2 linked regions of the Cricetulus griseus genome follow. The protein of the gene in region 2 interacts with the protein of the main gene of each other region in a biochemical or structural test. Links are inferred from orthologs where the notes say so. Each region holds a gene or a part of one and is shown on either strand. Other genes may lie near its edges.

Region 1 (12,044 bases), on a different chromosome or scaffold from region 2:
AGAATCCTTTAGAGCCATGCTTTCTAATATGGAAGCTACCAAATTTAAGTGAACTAAAGGATTAGGTGAATGATTAATTCAGCCCCTCAGTCATGCTGGCCACATCACAACTGCTTAGTAACTGCATTCAGACAGTGGTTGGGCTTTTTAGCCTAGTAAGTTGAGATTTTACTTTTATTTTCAATTGTGTAGGTGCAGCTATCTGTGCAGTGCCTGTGAAGGCCAGAAGAGGGTGCTGGATGCCCTGGGAGCTGGAGTCAGGTGGTTTTGAGCTGCCATGTGTGGGTGCTGGGAACTGAGCTGGGAACTAGGGTTCTCTGCAGGATCAGACTGCACTCTTAACTGCTGAGCTATCTCTCCAGCCCTCAGAGGGAGTGAAGAAAGTACACAGTGACTATAAACATTCCTTTTGAGGCGTCTGGTATCTAGAGTAGCACAGAAATGGGGTAGAGCCTGGAGAGAAGCAGGTCAAGACATGGTCTCTCAAAAACGGCTAAGAGTTTGCATACATACAGCTGAGGTCAATAGGCCAGGAGAAGAAGGGAGATCAGGAAACAATCAGTCCTTATGCACAGAAGGGGAGGGGACCTAGACTTGATGTAGAAGGAAGGATGCTTCCTTCAAACTTCCTGACAGGGGCAAGGTAGGCAGGTGGCCTGGTTTGGGAAATAAGCTATCAGTTTAGACTGCCAACAGTGATTTAGGTGGGAATCTGAGGCAAAGACCTGGAGGGGTACTCTCAAAGGAGAAAACAAAAATTAGCAGAAAAGTGCTAATAAAGGGACAAGAGACCACGGATGCTCTACTCAAACCTTCAATGACTTCCTACTGTTTTTATGGTAAAGTGACAACCTACAAGGCAGGCCCTGTGGGCAGGCCATGTGCCCTTCAGCAAACAGCTGGTAGAGGCTGGCCTTACCCTCACTCCCTGCTCATCCATCACATCTCTCGGTCCCTTGACTAGGTCTGTCCTCCCACCACAGGAACAGAGATGTACAGTTGTGTCCCTTGGTGTTCATGGGAGGTGCTTCTAGGATTCCCCAAGGACACTGGAATTGCAGAACACTTAAGTTCTTGATGTAAAATGGCATGGTATTTGCAAATAAGCCATGCACATTCTGCTGTGTGCCTACATCATGTCTAGCACACAACGGCGAAAGCACTATATCAGAAGTTGTTAGCCGGGCGGTGGTGGCACAGGCCTGTAATCCCAGAACTCTGTGATTTCGAGGCCAGTACTAGAAATCCTAGTGGCTTGAGGATGGGTAAGCAGTGGTGGTGTTTACTACGACAGGAAAGTCTTGTCTCAGAGCTCCGCTTAGGATATGTCTGATTAGAAGTTAAAGTACGTAACTGGATACAGGAATGTGGAGCTTTGAGAGGTCTGGGTTACAGAGACATGTTCAGCACTTTCCAGCATTTAGACATTAAAACCAACAAGTGAGTTAAGGTCACCAAGAAAGAGAGGGAAAAGTGGATGCAGCATAATACACACAAAGGAAGGACCACATGAGATGGAAATAAAATAGCTACTAAATTGGCATCTGCCTCCCAGGACAAGCCACACGGCAAGTCCAACACTGTTACAGTCCTAAGTCTGCTGCATCTCATGTCTTTAATTCCAGTTCCAAGGTTCTTATGTTCCAAGTGAATTACTGAATTCCCAGAATATTACAGAAGGTGTCACTAAAAGCTCCCACTATCATGTGACCTAGCTTAAAGAGAAGGAGGCTCGCCAGAGGGAGGGGCAGGAGCCCATGTCCTCTTTCCCCCTCTTTCCCAGCAGCTTCCACACTGGACAAAGGCACCCTGAAGTGGGGGTAGTCAGGAGCTCTTCTGGGCCCCGTTAGATTGGGGCATAATCATCACAGGACTAATGTTTTTATTGTTTTAAAAGCTCTAAAAGACTAAAGAGTAACACTCTAAAAGAAAATGGGTTATGTCAAATGAAGTAGTTCATGAGGAAATGCAAATACATGTGGACTTGGAAACATCAATGACTGCATTACTAAAAATAAAGCAATTTTAAAATAGCAAGACATTAGTTTTAATTAAAAGTGCCCCCCCTCCCGGGAAGCGTGTGAGTACTCGCGTGCGCGCACACACACACACACACACACACACACACACACACACACACACACACAGTGAACGTATGGTGCCCAGAGACAATCTGTGAAATCAGCCCTCTCTTTTTCTACTATGGGTCCTAGGGATAGAGTTTAGGTCATCAGAGTTGGTACCCTTATCCAATAAGCCATCTTGCTGATCCAAAAGATAATTTAAAAAATTAAAAATCACATACACACACACACACACACACACACTAAATATTTGCCCACGTGGATGAACGTGTACCATGTACATGTCTGGTGTCCATGGAGACCAGAGGTGGATGCCCTGGAACTGGAGTTACAGATAGCTGTGAGTCACCCTGTGAGTGCTGGGAACCAAACCTGGATTCTCTACAAGAGCCTCCTAGTGCTCCTCACCCTGACTCATCTCCCTAGTGTCCCTGCCCCATGTTGTTTTTATGAAGATTTTTCTCCTTACTTTTTAAAATTAAAAAATTCGATATGGGGGTGAGGGGAGAGATGGTTCCTCCAAAGGATCTCGGTTTGATTCCCAGCACCCATACGGTAGCTCCTAACATCTATAACTTCAGTTCCAAGGAATTTGGCCCTTTTCTAGCCTCCACGGGCACTGCAAACACACGGTACACCGACATACATGCAGGCAAAACATCCGCACACATAGAATAAAAATGTTTACAGAAGGGCAATTGGAAAGGGATGAAGCGGACAGAAGTTAATGTGCACCGTTTCTTACCCTGAGGTTACAGGCCACCCTCACCCGCTGACACGCAGTTGTTGCCAGGACTAAGACACTCACTTGGGTTCATGAGGAGGTCCGGACTGGTCAATCAGCTTGAACTCAGCAGCAAAGCCATGGGAGCGAGCATACTCTAACAGGCCGCCCACGGGGTTGGTGTTCAGGTACCTGACGAGCTCACCAATCCTCCTGATCTTGTTGGGTGCCACAGACTCATCAAGTGATTCCGTGTTCACACCTCCAGACTAAGGGAGAATTAGTCCAAGAGGAACCAGCAACATGTCAGAAAAGTCAGAGGGACACAAAGACTTCTCTGCCCACACTGTAACAAATGGCTTGTGATTTGAGCAGGACAATGCCCTACCTGGTCATCAGCTGAATTGGCTGCCTCCTCCTGCAGAGCCTTCATGGCTTCCTCTGCCGCCATCTGCTTTGCTACTTTCTTGCTGGGGGCACTCACAGTGGGGAAAGTCTGGGCTCCTACTGCTACACAGTATTGGAATCTTAGAGAAAATGATGGGCAAAGGATCACAATGGCTGGGCTGCAGTGATCTGCCTCGCCCCTGTCGGCGGCCACCCTCCATTACTTGTAGCTCTTATTCACATCACCTCTGTGTAGTTATTTTGGCCTTGGACAGCTAGTGCGAACCGCCCATCCACTGCCCCCAGTCTCGTGACCTGGCTAACCACTCAACATGCAAGTGTCACTCCTCACACCCTCTAGGAGTCTTCTTTTGAACAAGTATGTGCACAGAACCCTCAAGCAGGGAGCTGCTAAGGCATGCCCAGATTCTCAACCTTCCTGTCCCAACAGTGACCGTCAAGCTGTCCATGCTGTGACCCTACCTAGTCCTCGGTCCCTTCGAACTCCTAATCCCAGACTCTCTGCTTCATAGCAGCAGCAAGGCCCTGAAGGCCCCTTTCCAGACTGTAACGGGAGAGACCATAAAGAGGAACGACTTCTCATCTCTGAGGTAAGTGTCTTAGCTACTTTGGGGGAGACATCCACAGGAGACACCACACATAAAGACATACTTGGGGTCATGGGCAGGGCCTTCTTTAGACAGGAGGCGAAATTCACAGGAGTTCCCTAGTTTGTGCATACACTCGAGCAGTGTGGTAACTGGGCTCTTCCCAGAGAATAATGTTGCTGAGGAGCTGGAGGTCTGAGACTCTGCTGGCTGGAGAAAAGAAGAAAGCACAAGCCAAAACTCTTATTAGATCACCATAGCAGAGGGCAGTGGGGTGTAGACACTTTATGGTGTTGACACTTTATCTCATTGTTTTTGAAACGATGTCTCCTCCTACAACCCAGGCTGGCCTTGACCTTAAGGTAATCCTCCTGCCTCAGCCTGCCAAATGCTGCAAATACTAGTCACTATGCCCAACTAAGTCGTTCTTTCAAGCAACTAAATGTTAGGAGTGGCCTTCTAAAGGAGAAGAGAGGAGCGTGAATTCAAAGTCTGTGATGGTTGGTTTTTAACTGTCAACTTGACACAGCTAAAACCCAAAGGAAAGGTGTCTCAGTGAGGCGCTGTCTGGATCAGACTAGCCTGTGGGCATGTCTGAGGGATTGTCCTGCTAGCTTAGCTGATATGAGGAGACCACCCTAAATGCTAGTAGCCCAGATAAAAGGACATGGCCTGGAAGGCTTTGGTTGTTTTTTTGGTTTTGGTTTTTGGTTTCTTTCAAGACAGGGTTACTCTGTAGCTTTAGAGCCTGTCCTGGAACTCACTCTGTAGACCAGGCTGGCCTCAAACTGACAGGGATCCACCTCCTCTGCCTCCCTAGGGCTGGTATTAAAGGTGCCTGGCCTTCACTCTTACTGAGGAGTGCATCTGTACTGTTGCTGCTCCCTCCCTCCCTCCCTCTTTCCTTCCCTCCCTCCCTCCCTCCTCCCTCCCTCCCTCCCTCCCTCCCTCCCTCCCTCCCTCCCTCCCTCTCCCTCCCTCCCTGATATTAGAACTGGCTTTTCTGGACATTAGAGCAGCTCTCTGAGAACTGCTCAAGCCTTCAGTGCCAGGTTGGGACTGACAAGGCACTCAGCCTCAGGGGCTCAGTAGCTACCAGTTTGCAGCCTCCTAGCTGGGAGACGGCCCTCATTAGACCACTCTGACCATACCAAGTGTTCATCTAAGAAACCCTTTTAATTATTTGTTATATAAGTTCTGTTCCTCCAGAGAATCCTAACTATTATTGCTTCTTTTGACCCTGACACTCTGCAAATACAATCAGACCAGGAAGGCAGACCAGGAGCTGGCTAAGAGGAAGGGTAGGCAGGGGTGTGAGGAGGGGTAGGATAGGGGTGCTGCCTCAGGATTGTTGACTATTTGAGACAGGACAACTTCCAGAGTCTGTCAGATCCTGACACACAACAGCTGAGGGTTACTGATCCCAGGGAAGAACACCTACCTTCTCTGAGTCTTCGTCCATGGGACAGTTCGATAATTCTTCTGGGTTTCCACTGTCTTTAGCTTTGGCTTCCCGAAGCAGAATGGCCATGGCTTTCATTGCTGCATCCTGCTTGGCCACTTTCTTGCTGCCGGCTTCAGCTGGTGGAAACTCTCGACCATTGATGACAACCTGGAATTTAAATCTTGGTGGAAAGTGATTAGATGTGTGAACACCAGGTTGGGTCATCCCTCTGTTCATTCAAAAGAGATCTCTCTCTACCCCAGGATGCTCTGATATACCAAGTACCTACTAGGGTCTCTATCTCTACACAGCCCTGGCTGTCCTCAAATTCAGAGATCCTCCTGCCTCTGACTCCCAGTACTGGCATTAAACGTGTGTGCCACCACACCCAGTGGTGTCTGTTATTCATTGATTGTGTTAGTTTAGTGTGTGTGTGTGTGTGTGTGTGTGTGTGTGTGTGTGTGTGTGTGTATCACAGACAACATGTGGGAGTCAGTTTTCTCCTTTCGCTACATGAGTTCAGAGGACTGAGCTCAAGCTGTCAAGCTTGTGGCAAGTATTTTTACTTCCTGAGCCATCTTGCTGGCCCACCATGTTTTAGAGACAGGATTTTGCTGGCCTTGTACTACACATTCTCCTGCCTCTGCCTCCCCAGTGCTGGGATTGCAGGTATGCTGGCCCGCTATCATTTCTTTTTTGTTTTTTGTTTTTGTTTTTGTTTTTCGAGACAGGGTTTCTCTTTGTATTGTTTTGGAGCCTGTCCTGGAACTAGCTCTTGTAGACCAGGCTGGTCTGGAACTCACAGAGATCCGCCTGCCTCTGCTTCCCAAGGGCTGGGATTAAAGGCGTGCGCCAATGCCCAGCTTCCGCTATCATTTCTTAACAATAAAAAGTGCACAAAAGAGATAGGTGGACAGTCTTGCTAACAACCCCTGGCCAACTGTGTGGATTGGCCTCCTCCATGGAGGTCCTAAAGGCATTGTGCTCCTTTTCAAAGTCCTCAGACCACAGCAGACACCTGCCCTGTAGCAGGGACCTGCTAGATGGTAAAAAGGGAGGAAGGGGAGCTGGGTATGAGAGGGGAAACAGGAGGCTGGAGGGTGGTTGAGGAGCCACTCTGAAGGTCCTGTAGGTGGGTGATGTGTCTCAGGTCACTATAACAATCTGTCCTTCTTAGATTGCTGTGCAGTGCTATAGCTCTGCCTGTCCCAGGTCTGGGATGAAAATCAAAACACTTGGCCCTAGACTCTGGCCTTAGCCTCAGTCTCCTTGGCTCAACCTTTTAAATGTCTGAGCTTTTTACTCAAGCTGGATTCATTTCATTCATTCAGAGAAGGAGGTAAGGCCTCCTACTTTCTAGGTCTTCAAAACACTCAAGTATAATATAACATTTCTTTTCATTCCCCTCCCCCCCTTTGAGGCAGAGTCTTACTATGTATTAGCCCAGGCTAACCTGGTACTCCCAACACGGAGTCAGTCACTTGAGAGCTGGGATTATGGGTGTGTGCCACCACACCTGGCAGCATTCAAGTTCTTTATATAGTTGAAGTCCAAAGAATGACTAATGGCAAAGCCCCCAGCTTTCCCTTAATTCTTTGGAGGAGTGGTGAGAGAGAGAAAGAATGCTAGCCCCTAGCCCCAAAATGGGTCCTGGCTCTGTAGTTTGGGGATAAACATACCCCCTTTGTTTAGCAGTTCTCCTGAAGTGGTAACTTGGTATCATGAAGGAAGTTAAGGAAGAAACAAGTCACTGTGGGGAACCTACACCCCTGGAAACCAGGGGTCACACATCAAATATCCTGCACATCTGCACTACGATTCATAACAGTAGAAAATTTATAGTTATGAGATAGCAAGGAAATCACTTTATGGTTGGGGGTCACCACAACATGAGGGACTATATTAAGGGCAGAGAATTAGGAAGGTTGAGAACCACTGCCACAGTGCCAAAGTCTGGCCAGCTGCCTGAGCTCGGGAACTTGACTTCTTGGCTTAGCAGCAGCAGCAGCAGCAGCAGCAGCAGCAGCAGCAGCAGCAGCAGCAAGTGCAGTCCATCTACCTGTGCAAGGGAAGTGTGCGAAAGCAGAAGTACCACCTTTGATAAGACTGGCAGGCAGCTTTCTGTGTTTGACACATCCTTTCTTTCCCTTTAAGCGGAGGCTGGGGTGGGAAGTGCACCTGCTTCTGCCTAGCAAGTGCTGTTATTCTGCCTGCTCAGCCGGCCCCAGCCCACCTGCTCAGTTTGGCAGTGATGGCCTAAGAAGGTAGATACGGGCACACAAGAGGTAGTCATCTCTACGCAAGTTCACTTCGGCCAGGAGAGTCAATCTCCCCTTGCTCAGCCAGGATTCTGGCTACCCTGAGGTCTAGCCTCCACGATTAGCATTTAGAGAAGGGACGAATCAAGGATGATTTAGCCAAAAGGTGGAAAAGAGAGAAGGCAAAGACAGGAGCCACCAAGGCCACCACTGACAAATGAGCTGAGACAGTGCAGGAACCAGAGCACCTGACTCAAAGCTAGGCATGATACCTGGGTGGTCTCTTACCGAGGTTCATGGGACGGTCCACTCTGCTCTATCAGGTTGAAATCACAGGTCTGACTAGTGAACTGAGCATACTCTAACAGCCCGCTGACAGGGTTCTTCAGCTGGCACTCGGTCAGCTTCTTGTATGGTGAACACCGTGGCAAGGTAGGGCTGTAGAAGGAGGGCATCTCCATGATGGCTCGAAACTCACCTGGTGCTGTGTGGATACTATTCAAGTTATCTGGGATGTCATCTGTGGCCCACTGGCCATTTTCAGAGTCAGCATACCCTGCTCTAGAGGGGCCATTGTGATAAGCGTGTGCTCGCAGTCTCACTGGCCCTGGTCTGGCCTCATACCTACTTTCATACTTTATCACAGGCTCCTGCCCATTCTCTACTTTTTTGGGGGTTGCCAGGCTGCTTGAGGCACCTGATGGGGGTGAGTGGCAGATGGGGAATGAGGTGCTTCTGGTAGCCTCTGGGACAGCTGCAGGAACACCGTGTGTACTTCTCTTTATCTGCAGCCTCTCCCGCTTCTTATCCGTCAAGCACCAGATGGGAGGCGTGGCCCCTTGCCGGTAGACATCGCCTTGCCTTTCCAAGTCGATCAGCACTGCGTTCACATCTCGGGCCTTGGTGAGGCCAACGTTCTTAGCCAGGTTCAGGGCAGAGGAGTTTGACACATTGAACAGGTAGTCACAGATTTTCTCCTTGATCTCCGCCATGTCAAGAGGCTCAGGAAGTCCTTCTAAGTCAGAGGCGGGGTCTCTGTCTTCACTGTCCAAACCAGGCTCTTCCTGAGGGACTGTCTGGCCACAAGTATCTGGATTCACAGCTCTAGAGGGCTGAGTCCAAGCCTGATGTGGGGGTGCAAGGCTCCACAGAGGAGGAGATCCCCCTCTTCTATGCAGCTTCCCCTTCCTTTCCAGGGAGTACAATATACGATTGATCTCCTTCTTTGGAACCCTGAGCTCTCTGGCTAGTACCTGGGCGCTGGTGGCTTTCCCCTCACCAAGCTCCTCCAGGCGGCCTAGGATCTTTTGCTGCGGATTCTGACTGATGCTCAGCTCCCGGAAGTGTGAACAAAGCCTGTCAGCACCTCTCCATGGCAGACTCCTACTGCTGGGTGGGAGAGGAAGTGGGAGTCCTGTGTGGAACCCCTGAGTTCTGAGAGCCACACTTCTGGGGAAACCCCAGATTTCCAGTTGCTTGCCTTGGGCAGGTTGCCCTGGGAACCTGGGCCAGTGTCCTGGGAGGGATGGCGGCAGTGACTGGGACTGCTGTCCAATCAGGGGTGCTTCTGGGAGCCGCCCTTTGAGAAAGTCTATCTGCTGGAGCTGGAAACTCCCGGGGTAAGACTCAGGCCCATGTGGCTGTGGATGTCTCCACTTGCTATGCTCATAGTTGGGGTCCAAGTAGGAGCGTGCCTGGTGAGGGAACACCCCTGCAGAAGACAACATGGAGGACAGAGCTTGAGTTAGAGTCATATATGAGCCTGTTGCTGTCATCCCTCCAGTTTCTGCCTGGGGAAGCTGTTCCAGATTCTTAGTGGGCAGGGTAGCTGACTGAGCTGTGGCCTATGTCCTCACTAGGTGACTTTAGTCCACTACTGCCTACTGCTTGGGAGCTTATCCGGGACACAGAGAAAGAGGGTGCAAGACACACAGCCCCTTTAGTCTCTAGAGTTTTGTCATGTGGATGATCTTGACAAGTGGAATTTAAGAGTGGATGAAACTTTCTCCCAGCTGAAGGAAGAGTGTAACTAGCAAGAGCCATCTCCATGTGGTAAAGGGCTCTCAGAGATTTACCTGTTAGCCACTCTGGTCCCCGGAGGATCAGAATTTGGTTTTAGGGAAGCTAGGGAGTTGCTGTCTAAAAACAGCAAGTGGTCTTTCTTCCCTCTTCAGTTGGCATCAAGGCTCACCGGGACATGGGAACAGGCAGGGTCTATTCACCACTTCCATCCTATCTCCCCAGCTTCCCATGCACCCTGCTGGAGAGCAGTGGTGATTTGCTCATGGGATGGGAACAGCACTTTGCTTGCCTTCCCCATGCTGGCAAACTTGGAGCAAACATACAGTAATGTTTTTGAGGCATTCATAGCCTTCCCCTGACTCTCTTGAAGGCTACAGGGGAGCTGAGTCACAGACTTCTGTTCTCCACCCTTTCATGACTGGGTATCTTACCCATCCTAATCACGACTGTAGTAACCCACCATGGGGCTCCTTAGCTTCTACATCAGTGACTTACATCATCAACAGTCAGCTACATGTGCACTCTGATCACAGAAAATTTGGGTATATGTTAAAAGTGTAAATGGCAGAGCACATGTATGTTATACTCTCTTCTAGTAAGAAAAAGGGAAAACCCACAAGAGTGTATGTGTGTGTATGTGCCAGTATGAGCAAAAATGAAAAGAAACAGTAATGAATTTACTGAGTTATTTTGGGAAGGTAGAACTAGAGAAGGAATTATTCTGTCTTCTCACCCCTAAACATCCCCTAAAAACCAAGTCTCAGTTGAGAACAGCTGCTAACAGTCACTTACTGGGACTGACTATTCCTCAAAGTCACTATATATAAATAAATGCTTTTCCTTCAAGTCAGATGTCCTCAGTGGTTTTAGGAAAGGGCTTTTTAAAATACAACATTAAGGGCTGGGAAGATGACCCTGGGTAAAAGCACAACTCGAAGGACTTGAGGTTGAATTTCTAGAACCCACAAATAAGCCTGATGTATGGTATAAGCACAGTAATTGCAGGACTTCTGAAAGGTTGAGGGCCAACCCTGGATACAACAAGAGACCCTGTCTCAAACAAGGTAAGGACCAACCCTGGGGGGACTTGGACCTCCACAGAGAGGAATACATGTATGCCTGTACATCCATTAATTAAAAGTTGGCTTTTGGGGTATGTTTCTTGATACAATGCCTCACCATGTACACCAGGCTGGCTTTAACTCACAGAGATCCACCTGCCTCTGCCTCCTAGGTGAGGGGATTAAAGGCATGTGCCACCATGCCCCCCAAAATTAAGTTTTAAATGTACACACACACACACACACACACTTCTATAGCTCAGTGGTAGAACGCTTGCCTACCAAGTGTGAAGCCATGGTTCATCCCGAGTAGCTTTTTAAAACTGGAGGTATAACCCTGAGTGGGGCATGCCTGCAAGGGCACTAAGGAGGAATGAGTTGTGGATGGCTCAAGGGCTGCCAAGGCAACACATAAAAACAGTCTCAAAAAAGAAACCCACTACTATCACCACCACCCAATCAAGATAAAGAACATTTCTACTTCTACTCAAGTTTTCTTCTACCTCTCTGCCTTCAACCTTCTCCTCACTTCTGGCCCTCAGCGCCAAGCATCCGTTTTTCATCCCCACTGCTTTTCAGAATGGCACACAGCACGACACCTCGGAATCCGGATTCTTCAAAACACTGCACGGCAGCACAAGAACAGCACTTCTCACTTGAGCGCTAAGCAGAATTCCACTGCAGCTTACCCCATAAGCTGTGGAAAGACACTCTAACCCTAACCCTAACCCTGTAGGTTACTTGAAAGCAAATTGCAAATTTAAAATTAACAGGAAGTTCAAAGAGAGCAAAGGGGAAGGGCCCTAAGGTAGGAACAGTTGTTCAAGTGGGACTACAGCAGCTCAGCGAGGTGTCAGCGGCCCTAAGCAGAAAGGGGAGGGGAGTCTGCCTTGGCCTGGGTCCTCAGGGTCGGGCACAAGAGACCCAGGTCCACCTTCTCCCACGCCTCCTTCCTGCATTGTTCAACGCTACAACAACTAACTGCATACAAATCCCCAGGAGGCGGATCGGCTTGATGAGGTAGCGCACGACCCACACAACTCACACTCCGCAAACCGGGACGTGGGGACGCAGACCCCGCGGGCTTACCTGCGGGTCCCCTGAGCCCCTGAGCCATAGCGCCGGCCAAACCTGCAGTTGGGCCACAAGATGGCTCCCCAGAGTTCACTTTCGTTTCCTGGAAAAGCCGGCTTCCCCCGCCCGATGGCTGGGCCAGGAGGAGGAGTTTGCTCTCGGCCCCAGAGAAGCATCCCGCCCACCCCAAGGGCTGGACCGCGGCAGTCCCCACTCACGGCCTTCCTCGCCACTCCGCCTTCGCTAGCAATGCACTATTCATATGTTAGCTGAGAGCTGGGGTGCAATTTATGTCACCGACAAGCTTATTTTGGCTCACGGTATTTTGGAAAGCTTCACTTGGGCACTCAACAGCACCCCTCTGCCCAGTGAGGAAGTTCCT
Region 2 (12,044 bases):
GCTAAAGGGCTTTTTATTTGGTTCTTCCTCCTGGTGTGAGCATGTATAAACAGCAGGACGTTACATAGAGTAGTAAACAGTAAAATGAGGAAAATGCATGAAATTTCAGCTTATGGGTGAATAGATCCTTGTTTAATATGTAATTAAACTTGATAGCATAATGTTTTTGAAATGTTAGCTATAAATGTGTGTCTGTCCATTTGTGAATCCTGAATATCCTGGTCCTATGATAAGACACTCACATAATTCTGTTCTCCAATTTTCAGTATTACGGACTACAAATTTTGGAAAATGTGATAAAAACAAGGTGGAAGATTCTTCCAAGGAACCAGTGTGACGGTAGGAAAATATCTTAAGAGTAATTTATTAATGTTGCATGGCAGGCTGTTATTTGTGTAGGGCAGGAGGAGTAGGTTACCTTTTAGAGGAAAGAGACAACCATCACTTTGAGCAAACCTTGTTTAGAAAAATAAGAGCATGTACACATTTGTGTACACGTGTGCACTCAGGAAGCAAAGGCAGGTGGATCTCTGAGTTTGAGGCCAACTTGGTCTATAGAGTGAGTTCTAGCTCAGCCAGGACTATATAGAGACCCCCTGAGGAAGAAAGAAAAAAAGAAAGAAGGAACGAATGAACAAACATGGCCGTCTGACAATGAAGATCTTAGGTAGAGTACTTGCCTAGCATTTTGGGGAGGGGGATCACTGGGTCATCCTCAGCGTGACATGCACACCAAGTGAACACCTCTTGAGCTACTTTTGGGCATGGCTGGAGATTGTTTATGCTTAGCAGCTTGATTGAACTTGGGGAGAGGAGTATCAAATCAAGGCTTTTTAACCATTGTCTTTCTGAGGTTGCTTTATGTGAGGGATGATTTTCTAAATCTAAAATAAAAGTGTAGTGATGGCTACAGTTAATCTTAAATGTTTCTTCCTTCTGTATTGGAAAGGTGTGGTGGTTCCCACTTGTAACCCAGCACTCATAAGGTAGTGGAGGCAGGAGGATTGGGAATTCAAGTCCTGGGCTATATGAGATCCTCTCCACACCTATGTACACATATACCTACATATTCAAAACAAATAAATGTCATAGCTTTAACAAAAAAGAGACATAATATTTGATACTAATTAGAAAATTGAGGCCAGGTCTATAGCCTAGTGCTAGGGCACTTGTTAACCCTGCACAGCCTCTGAATTTGACTGCTTTATTTTATGCATATGGATGTTTTCTCTGCATATGTACCACATGTGTGCCTGATGCCTGGGGCAGTCAGAATGGGGTGTTGGATGCTCTGGAACTGTAGTTATGGGTGGCAATGAGCTATTAAGTTCACTAGTTGTGAACAGACTATGTGTGTTCTGGGAACCAAACCTGGGTTCTCTGGATGAGTGGTAAATGCATTTTTCTTTTAAGGTGGGTGTGGGCGTGTGTCCGACCATCTATCTCTCTCCATTGGTCTGTGTCCTTCATCTGTGAAGGCCAGAAGGAAGTGACCAATATTTTGGTACTTAAGTTAAAAGTGGTTATGAAACATCCTAAGTTGGTGATGGGTACAGAACACAGGTTTTCTGGAAAAGCAATGTGTCTTTAACTCTTGAGTTATCTTTCCAGCCCTGTTCCTTTCTGAATACATTTTTTTGTTCTTTTCCTGTGTGACTCAGGTGGTTTTGTAGGTAAGGATGGCATTGGACTTTTGGTTCCTTTGCCTCTACCTGAGGGCTGGGAATACAGGCTTGAATTCCCATAGCTTTGTGCTGATCAAACCTAGGACATTAAACATAGTAGACAAGCACCCTACCAGCTGAACTGCAGTCTTAGTCAAGTTCCATGGTGGCAGATATGAATCATCATACTTGGCTGAAGTTTAAGGTTTTTGGTTTTTCAAGACACGGTTTCTCTGTGTAGCTTTGGAGCCTATCTTGGCACTAGCTCTGGAGACCAGGCTGGTCTCGAACTCAGAGAGATCCCTCTGCCTCTGCCTCCGAGTGCTGGGATTAAAGGTGTGCGCCACCAACATCCAGCCGCGTGCGTGCGTTTTGTTTTTTTTTTACATTCCAACCTCGGTTTCTTTTCCTCTCTTCCCGCTACCCCTTCCCCCACCTCACATCTGCTCCTCTGAGAGGGTAAGGCCTCCCCTAGGAAGACTACTAAGTCTGTCTGATCATCTCATTGAGGCAGGATCAAGGCGCCTCTCCACCCCATACCTCTGTGTCTAGGCTGAGCAAGGTATCTCTCCTTATAGAATGGACTCCACAAAGTCAATTTGTGCTATAGTGTTATATCTTGGTCCCTCAGCCAGTGGCCTCATATATTGTCCCAGTCACACCATTGTCACCTATATTAAGGGAGTCTAGTTCAGTTTTATACTGGTTCCCCATTTGTCAGACTTGAGACCTGAGACCGTGATCTCTCACTAGCTCAGGTCAGCTGATTCTGTGGGTCTCCTATCATGGTCTCGATTCCTTTGTTCATATTATCGCTCCTCCCTCACTTTGGTTGTACTCCAGGACCTTTTTTTATTATTACACTGTAGTTTTAGCTGGGTGTGATGCACACTTGATCCCTGCTGCTTATTACACTGTAGTTTTAGCTGGGTGTGATGCACACTTGATCCCTGCTGCTCCAGGACAGCCAGGACTACATTGAGACCCTATCTGAAGAAAAAAGGAAAAACAAAAACTTTTTTTTTGAGACAGGGTTTCTCTGTGGCTTTGGAGGCTGTCCTGGAACTAGCTCTTGTGGACCAGACTGGGCTCGAACTCACAGAGATCCGCCCGCTTGCCTCTGCCTCCCGAGTGCTGGGATTAAAGGTGTGTGAAACCACTGCCTGGCAAAACATCTTATTTTTAAATTAAATTTTGTTTTGTTTTCTGTTCCCCAATACCACCACAGGACCTCTATGTGTCTTGTAGCAATTTAGACCAGGCTAGCCTTGGGAAGACAGGGCTAAAGGGGTACTTCACCATACCCATCTCTAATCAAGTCAATTCCATAGCACAAGGCCATTGTTTCAAAGTCTGTGGAGGCCAGCCTGAACTTCAAACCATGTATCTATTTAATCAAAGAATACATAACACTTGGTATATTTTCCTATAAAATTGATGTAATATCTTATAATTTTATTACACAAAAAAAATGTAGTAGTAAGATGGATAGCTTCTTTTGTGTGGGGGGGGGATAGCTAGTTTATAGTTAGCCTGTGACTACATATGTCCTGACACCACCACCACCACACCACACCCCCTGTTCTGGACCTCAACTCTGTAGACAAGGCTGGCCTTGAATTCGCAGAGATCCGCCTGCCTCTGCCTTCCAAGTGCTGTGATTAAAGGTGTGCACCATCACTACTCAGTTTTGTCTTGATTTTTCAAAAGTTCAAAAGTATGAAAAGCATACCCATAGGCATGTCAGTTATTCTGAGGTGTTTATCATCAAATCTAGGGGGGTTTTGTGTGTTGGGCAAGTATGGTCCTGAATATTTGTTAGCATGGTGTGAAAGTGTGATTTTGTTTTCTTAATAGAGTCACATTCCGGTGGCTCTGCGCACCTTTAATACTCATCATTGGGAGGCAGAGCCAGACAAATCTTGAGTTACAGGACAGCCAGACTACCTTGTTTCAAAAAAAAAACAAAAAAAGTCACATCTAGTTCAAGTTGTTGTGACAGTTCCTTTGCCTCAGCACTCTAAAGTGCTGGGGTTACAGGCATAAACCAACTCCCATGCCTATCTTACAAGAAGTTTTCCTTTTTTTTTTTTTTTTTTACACATTGTGTATAATCTTTTAATAGGGATAAAAAAATACGTTGTTGGCCTCATTATCAAGACATCTTCTGACCCAGCATGTGTAGAGGTAAGAAAATTCTTTGAAAATTATTAATTTTTGAATTTTGTTTTCTTTGTGTGCACACACATGAGAGTGCCTAAGTTCGAAAGTGTGGGTGTGGTGATCCTGGCAAGTGAAGAGAGTCAGTCAGTGCTCTTCTCTTCCTTCCATCCTGTGGGGCTGGAGATTGAAACTCATATGTTTGCAATGTAAACCATCTCTGAAAATTCAGAGATTGATGGTTTTTTAATTAAGTTTATTTATTGTGTGTGCAGTGTGTAAACAACTGGGTGCTTTTTGAGGTTAGAGGGAGACTTTTGGGAGTTGGTTCTCTCCTTATATTTTATAGGTCCAGAGAATTGGAACTCAGTTTGTCAGGCTTGGTAGCAGTTGGCTTTTCATGCTGAGCTCCCTTGATAGTCCCCAGAGAATGTGTTTGAGAAAGCAAACATTTAAATGTTAGCCTACTTTTAACAGTCATAAAAACATGTATATTTGTAGTACATCAGTAGTCATTTCTAATGCTTATGTTTGTGTTGTATTCTTTAGGCACTTGTTTAATGTGACCCCTTTCCCCTTTCCCTAGAAAGAAAAGGTGTACATTGGAAAGTTAAACATGATTCTTGTTCAGGTAAGCTTTATATTAGCCATCTTCCTCAGAAAATTTAAATGATTGTTACACTTAACATTTGCATCTGTTTAAACTTCCCCATCACATAGATATCTTTATAAAAAGGATTTGTATTTTAATTATGTGTATGTAGGTGTGTGTCTGTCTTGTTTTCTGGTGGATATGTGCATGTGAGTGGAGGTGCTCACAAATTACAAAGGTCAGAGGCATTTGAAAGCCCTGGGCCTGGAATTATAGATTGTTGTGAGTGACATGTGCCTGACATGGGTCCTGGGAACTGGGCTCTCAGGTGTTCTCCTTTTTTCTTCCCTGAGACAGGGTTTCTCCGTGTAATGGCCTTGGCTGTCCTGGAACTTGCTTTCTAGGCCAGGTTGGCCTTGAACTCATAGAGATCTGCCCCCCTCTGCCTCCTAAGTGTGCTACCTAACCGAACCTGAGTTTAGGTCTTTAGTTAACATTTGTTATAATGAGCCTGTGGTGATAAGAATCAACAATTATTTTAAGACTTCGGTTATATGGCTTCAGTGTAAATTGGACTGTATATTGGAGTTTGAAATTTTCAGTGCATCTCTTGGATTCTTAGACCAATAACAATGCATTCCCCTTATGTGGCTGGTCCAGTTCCAGTTTATATATCCTTACATGGAATTTGGCCTCCTAGTTAGTTTCCATACAGTCTTTCCTAACCACTTATGTAGTCTTAAGTTTAGAATGTTTATATTGACCTGTTTTCTTTACTGTCCCCCAACAGGTCATCCTTCTGTAGAATGTTAGGAATATTCTTGGCTATGACACTATCCAAACTTCAAAATTCTAATATGTTTTACTAAGAATTTAGTAGAAAATTCATTCCCTGTTTGTGCTATATACTTCAAGGTGGAAATGTTCCCACCCTAATATAATTCAAGAACCAGGGCCTGGCTGCATCAACTTCACTACATTAGCAAATTTATAATAATGTAAGGAGTAGATTATATCTAACAGAAAATGTTTCTTACTGATTTTTGGAGTAGCAGGGATTGATCCCAGGGGTGGATATGCTAGATGAGCATTCTTACTAGCCCATAAATATGTTTTCTTAATCAGTCACCCTTTATCATTTAATTAGATCTCAGTTGTTTGGGGAGAGGTTATACATATCTTTCAGGCAAATATTATCTATCATATGCTAGGACCAAATGTAACGATCAGGGTAACGGAGTGGGGTCTATGAGTAAAACACTGTGTATTGTGTTTGTGTGTGATGTAGAGAGTAACACAGTTCCTTCCTTAATGGGATTCAGTGAGTGATATTTACTCTGGCTTGGCAGTTTTTTTGTCCTTGTCACTTGAAGTGAAATGTGTATTTCATCTTTAATTTTAGATACTTAAGCAAGAGTGGCCTAAGCATTGGCCAACTTTTATCGGTGATATTGTTGGAGCAAGTAGGACCAGTGAAAGTCTATGTCAAAATAATATGGTGATTCTTAAACTCTTGAGTGAAGAAGTATTTGATTTCTCTAGTGGACAGATAACGCAAGTGAAGGCAAAGCATTTAAAAGACAGGCAAGTAATTATGTTTTAAATTACGTTATATGGAGCTCTAAGTGTAAAAGCTTCTTTTCAATTACTTGGGGATGTGTACAGGAGATAATCAGTGCCTCCCTGTTACTCTCCATCGGGTCTGCCTGAAATCGGGATTTGTATTTTCCTACTTTGCTAAATCTTTTTTTTTTTTTTTTTTCCCCTGCTTAGCATGTGCAATGAGTTCTCACAAATATTTCAACTCTGTCAGTTTGTGATGGTAAGTGGTTTTAATTTTCTCCTTTTTGAAATAAAGTAGAGTAGAGTATGTTTATGATATGATGCTTGTGTTTGCAGGAAAGTTCCCAAAATGCTCCTCTTGTACATGCAACTTTAGAAACACTGCTGAGATTTCTGAACTGGATTCCACTGGGATACATCTTTGAGACCAAGTTAATCAGCACATTAATTTACAAGGTAAAGCTGTACACTTCAATTTTGTCTCTGGATGGGCACAAATGATTTTTCTTAACTGACACTGTTAATGGCTATCTTTATGAAATGAAGGAACTGCCCTCAAGATTTTTACATGAATAGTAATCATTTTATATGACTCTTTAAATCTTTTTTTTTTAAATTAAGGCATAGTGGTGTATGTTATTATAATACTGCAGAGTCAGAAGTAGGAGGTCTTTTATTTTTATTATATCTATTTGTAAATTTTGTGTTAAGGTTTGTGGGCATGGATATATCTGGAGGTCAAATGACAGCTTGGTTGAGAGTTGGTTCACTCCACCATAAGGGTTAAGGGGACTGAACGTTGCCTGCTTCTTTACCTGCTGAGCTATCTCAAAGCCCCAGGTACAGGGTTTTCAAGTTTGAAGGTGGCCTAAATTACTTACCTAGGAAGGTCTGTCTTAAGAAACCAGCTAACTAGGTCAGTTTTTCAAGAACAAGTCAATGGGGATGGAGAGATGGTTCAGAGGTTAAGAGCACTGCTCTTCCAGAGGTCCTGAGTTCAATTCCCAGCAATCACATGGTGGCTTACAATAATCTATAATAGATAGGATCTGTTGCCCTCTTTTGGCATGCAGGCAGTACAGGTATAACACTGTATATATAATAAATTGTAGATAAATAAATAGATCTTTACTTTTTTAAAAAAATCAGGCATGATTGCAATTTAAGGCCTGTGTGAAAGCTTTCTGGGGGGAAGGGGCGGGTCTGAGGCAAACAGGGTTTCTCTGTGTGACACTTTGGCTGTCCTGGAACTTACTTTGTAGACTGGCTCACAGAGATCCACCTGCCTCTTTAAGACCACTTAGCCCAAGACTTCCAGGACTACCCAGTCTCAAAACAAAAGGTCAAGACAAAAAGTAAAGTGAAGGCTGGAGATTGTAGCTCAGATTCGATTCTTGTTGCTGTCAAAAACAAACAAGATTTCTATATTGGGTACAATTAGCATATTGCTTTCTTTGGATTGAGTCACACAGTGAAGTGTAATTCAGGGGATAATCCTATAAAGTAAAAAAGAAATTTGTTTACATGTATTCATTTTGTATGTAGTTGCCTGTCCCCAGGATCAGACTCAGATCGTCAGTCTTAATGGCAAATACTTCAATACTGGGGCCATGAAAATCTCTTGCCTGAGAAATTTGAATACCATACACTTACTAATTACTGCTACCTGTAGTTGGAGTGTTTCTCCAGAGCATCTGCTCCCAAATTACCAGCTGCTACTTCCCAAGTAACTGACTCCGAGACTTAAGTTATAACTGCTCTACTGATAGCTCAGGCTTGTTACTAGCTAACTCTTACATTTAAATTAACCCATATTACTGTCCATGCTTTCCCACATGGCTCATGATTTCTTACCTTATTTTCTACATGCCTGCTTCCTGGGCAGCTAGCTGGCATCTCTTGACTCATCTTTTTCCATCCCATCATCCTCAGTTTGACTTTCCTGCCTAACTTTATCCTGTTTAGCTACTGACCAGTCATAGCAACATATATTCACACAGTGTACAGAGGAATCTTCTGTAGCAGTTACCAGTGCATTGTATTATCTTGATGAATGTTATTGGGATGTTTTTTGAACCTTAGTAAAGCTAGATTAGTAACCAGTGAACTTTGTAGATCAGTTATTAATAAATCCCAAATCAACCACCAAGGGTATACAGAATATATACATCCTAAAGACCTTATTTTGGGGGTTGTGGAGGGTGGTAAGGATATCATGGTTTAAGTTCATCTCATATTCAATGTAGGTGATGTGTAAGTTGATGGTGACCCCCTCCCCATTGTCTATTCTCATTCCTCAGAGTAGGTTTTTATTGTTGTTGTTTTTAACTATTATTAAGATGGGGTTCTCAAGCCAATCGCCAATCAAACATAAACAGTAATTTAGATCCTGGGAAAGTTACTGAACAAGTTGTTTTTTTAAATTTCAGGTGTACTAAGGATGTAGTTCCCTATTTGCTAAGTGTGCACTGTAACACATAAAATAAAAACCTAGAGACAGATACTGGGGTTTAAGCTTCAAGCTGAAGATCAGAAAAGCAAAGCAGCCCAGCCAGCCATTAGCTCTCACCTCTACCTCAGACTAAAAGGGCTATCCTGTCATCAACATGGCTGGAGACTAATTCTCACATCAGACCCTTTGCTTCTTCCTTTTATACCTCTCAAATCCTGGGATTAAAGGTGTGGGATCCCAACCTTTATGTGAGCTGTTTTCTTTTTAGACTGGATAAATCTCATAACTCAGTGTGGCCATGAACTAACAGAGTAGTCTACCTCTGTCTCCTGAGTCTTGGGATTAAAGGTGTGTACCACCACATAGCTTCTATGCTGACTAGTGTGGCTGGCTTTGCATCAACTTCAGAAAATCTTTATTAAATCATAACTAATATATCACCACAGTGTACAAAGCAATAGGCTTAATCCCCAGTATCCCTATACCTGTGAAGCAAGTAGAGAGTTCAGAAGTGTAAAGTCATCCTCAGCTTTGTAGCAGTTTTGGTCTTCATCTGGGCCTCTCAAAGAAAAGCAAGCATTTCAGTACTTAGAGTATATGGTGTTTTATTTTGTGGGAATGAGTTTTGACTATGCATGTGTGCGTGCTATATATGTATCACATGTGTGTCTGGTGCTCTTGGATGTCAGAAGGAATAGACATAAGAAGAGAGTGTTGAATCCCATTTGACTGCTACTTGTGAGCTGCCTTTGGGTGTTGTTGGGAGTAGAGCCTGGGTCCTCTTGAAAAGCTTTTTAACCACAACCAGCTTTCCATCCCTTACCCTCCTTTGTCATTTTTAAAATAAATGTCTCTTGTTTAATTTTGCTTTCTCTTTTAATAAAATAGTTCCTGAATGTTCCAATGTTTCGAAATGTGTCCCTAAAGTGCCTCACTGAGATTGCTGGTGTGAGTGTAAGCCAATACGAGGAACAATTTGAAACTCTGTTTACACTTACAATGATGCAGCTAAAGCAGGTAATATACCACTATTTTGAAAACTGAATGATTTTAATGCATTAGAAATGGGAAGATTCATGACCAATAGCACTGCCCAATGAACAATAAAAAATAATAGATTTAAACTATAGAATAGTTAATACAGATGAATTGTGTGATTATATGTACATTATATAAAATCTTGAAAGTTTTATTTTCTTCCTTGAAATATTTAGGTTTTGCTCTTTGCCATTAAAGGGTCAGAAAGGGACTTTTCCTGCCTCTCTCTTCCTCTCTGTCTTTACATCTTTTCTCTTTCCTTATTTCTTACCTCCCTCTCAATAAAACTTTCAAAATGAAAAAAAAATATTAAGGGTTTTGGCGTTACATGATAACTAGAAATTTGAAGGTTGAATTTGATTATACATTGGGAAATTAGGAACCTGATAGGACCAATCTCTCCCTCCTCAGTCCTCAACATTGCTTGTCTAAACTAGACAACCTCTTCTCTAGACTAAGATCTGTTGGTTATCTAGGAAGATAAGCATGATGTTGTATTACTGTTTGCCATTTGAGTGTACCTTTATATTTTTTCTGTGTCTTGAGAAAAACCTGACAGAAAAATTCAAAGAATATAGCAGGCAGCGGTCTAGATTGGCCAGAAATACAGTGCAGATTAATGTCAGCAAATAGGGTTGTCATTTTAGAGTTCAGACTGTTTTCTTGTGGTTTTGTAACTTGTTTGTAACTTGGTTTTTAACTTCCAGATGCTTCCTTTAAATACTAATATTCGAGTTGCATACTCAAATGGAAAAGATGATGAACAGAACTTTATTCAAAATCTCAGTCTATTTCTCTGCACCTTTCTAAAGGAACATGGTCAACTTTTAGAAAAAAGACTGAATCTCAGGGAAGCACTCATGGAGGTAGGTTTGGCTCCTAGTATTTGTCTCTTCAAAGCAAAAATAAAATAAAATAAAAGGCTCTTGAATATGTGCCTGTTCTCTACATGGATTTTTGAGACATCTTGCTTGTTCTCCACCTGTATGCTTTTTGTGGTTTTGTTTTTGAGTCACGATACTTTTATTTAACCTTGACTGTCCTGGAACTTCACCGTAGAGCATCACAGAGATCTGCCTGCCTCTGCCTCCCTAATGCTTGGATTGGATTAAAAGCATGCCCAGCTGCTTTAGCTGCTCTTATACTATCTCCTAGGTTGTTGTGGAACTCTGTAGGGCAGTCTGGTGTTGATCTTTCAGTGAATCTAGGTGCTGAGATTATAAGCATGAGTATGCCTTGTTTCCAAAACAGATTCCTGCTTTGATATTTGGGTCTCTGTAGTTTTGGCAGACAGGCTGACCTTGAACATATAGACAGACATCCACCTGCCTCCCAAGAACTGGGATACAACTATGCCTGACAATTTTTTTTAATTGGAAAACTGTTAATATACAAAACATAAAAGCCAGACATGTCAGTACTGTCCGTGGGAACTCACACAGGGAACACACACAATGTAAATACCATATTTGGGATAGCCTGTATGAATCTAATTTTGAAATGTGCTCATGCTAGTAATCTCAGCACCTGGGAAGCTAAGGAGTGAAGATTCCCAGAAGTTCAACACCAGAGTTCCACACCAGCCTAGGAAATGGTTTTATTGTTTGAATATGTGTCTGAACAGTATAACCAACAGTATACTGTTTCCTAACATTTTTAACATCTCCACAGCAAATTGTGTACCCATGTTTTGTTTGAGACCAAGTCCTCTAGTCCTGATTTGCACTAAACCATTTATATATACCAAGCCATCCTCAAACTTGTGAATAACTTGTCTGTGCCACCAAAAGTGCTACTGTTGTGTGCTTTACCATTACCTGACACCAAAGAGCCCCTTTGTAATGTGGGACTTTCTGGCTCACCTCAAACTGATTACCTGAAGATGATCCTCATGCCTTCCCCAGTGATCAGGCTGTAGGACCTGCTCTCCAGTTTTAATGCCTGTTTAGACAAACTTGGATATAACTCAGTTATGTATACTGGAAACATTAGAGAACATGTCTGAAGAAACATTGGCTTCCAGGGCTTTCTGTTTCAAAAATGGAAATCCAGATGTATTTAAACAGAATATTAATTTTTAACCCAGATTTAAGTACTGATTTGGTGGTAATGTTTTAATTCTGTTTGTCTTAATGTGTAGGCTCTTCATTATATGTTGTTGGTGTCTGAGGTCGAAGAAACTGAAATTTTTAAAATCTGTCTTGAGTACTGGAATCATTTGGCAGCCGAGCTCTATAGAGAGAGTCCATTTTCTACATCTGCTTCTCCATTGTTATCTGGAAGTCAGCATTTTGATATTCCTCCAAGGAGACAGCTGTACCTAACTGTGTTATCAAAGGTAATATTGAGGGGGTCGGTTGAGTGCATTGTTTCTTCCTATATTGTTGATGGCTAATAAGTGTTGGTTGAAGAACATAAAAAGGATAAGTTTTCCAGCTTTAGTTTTTAAAAGTATGGCTCTTTAGCTAGCAGCCTTGCATTATCTTAACTTATTGGTGTGTACGTATGTTCATTGGCTACCCCCAATCTATTCAGTCAATGAGACTTAAAAGATTTATTTATTATGTATACAGTA

Evidence for each region.
Region 1: the proteins of Xpo1 (region 2) and Adar form a complex in vitro, tested with the Homo sapiens proteins (2 studies listed by BioGRID, with this or other methods). The link is inferred for Cricetulus griseus from reciprocal best matches to the Homo sapiens genes XPO1 and ADAR.

The regions. Positions count from the first base shown.
Region 1 is NW_023276806.1:64,814,199-64,826,242, forward strand, and holds the start of Adar (double-stranded RNA-specific adenosine deaminase), read right to left. Parts: upstream 11,706-12,044; coding exon 11,678-11,705; intron 9,217-11,677; coding exon 7,794-9,216; intron 5,429-7,793; coding exon 5,245-5,428; intron 4,014-5,244; coding exon 3,868-4,013; intron 3,336-3,867; coding exon 3,197-3,335; intron 3,078-3,196; coding exon 2,893-3,077; intron 1-2,892. UniProt on the Homo sapiens protein: Catalyzes the hydrolytic deamination of adenosine to inosine in double-stranded RNA (dsRNA) referred to as A-to-I RNA editing.
Region 2 is NW_023276807.1:83,487,485-83,499,528, reverse strand, and holds part of Xpo1 (exportin-1), read left to right. Parts: intron 1-266; coding exon 267-339; intron 340-3,789; coding exon 3,790-3,851; intron 3,852-4,410; coding exon 4,411-4,455; intron 4,456-5,818; coding exon 5,819-6,000; intron 6,001-6,189; coding exon 6,190-6,238; intron 6,239-6,315; coding exon 6,316-6,435; intron 6,436-9,319; coding exon 9,320-9,448; intron 9,449-10,176; coding exon 10,177-10,335; intron 10,336-11,609; coding exon 11,610-11,807; intron 11,808-12,044. UniProt on the Homo sapiens protein: Mediates the nuclear export of cellular proteins (cargos) bearing a leucine-rich nuclear export signal (NES) and of RNAs.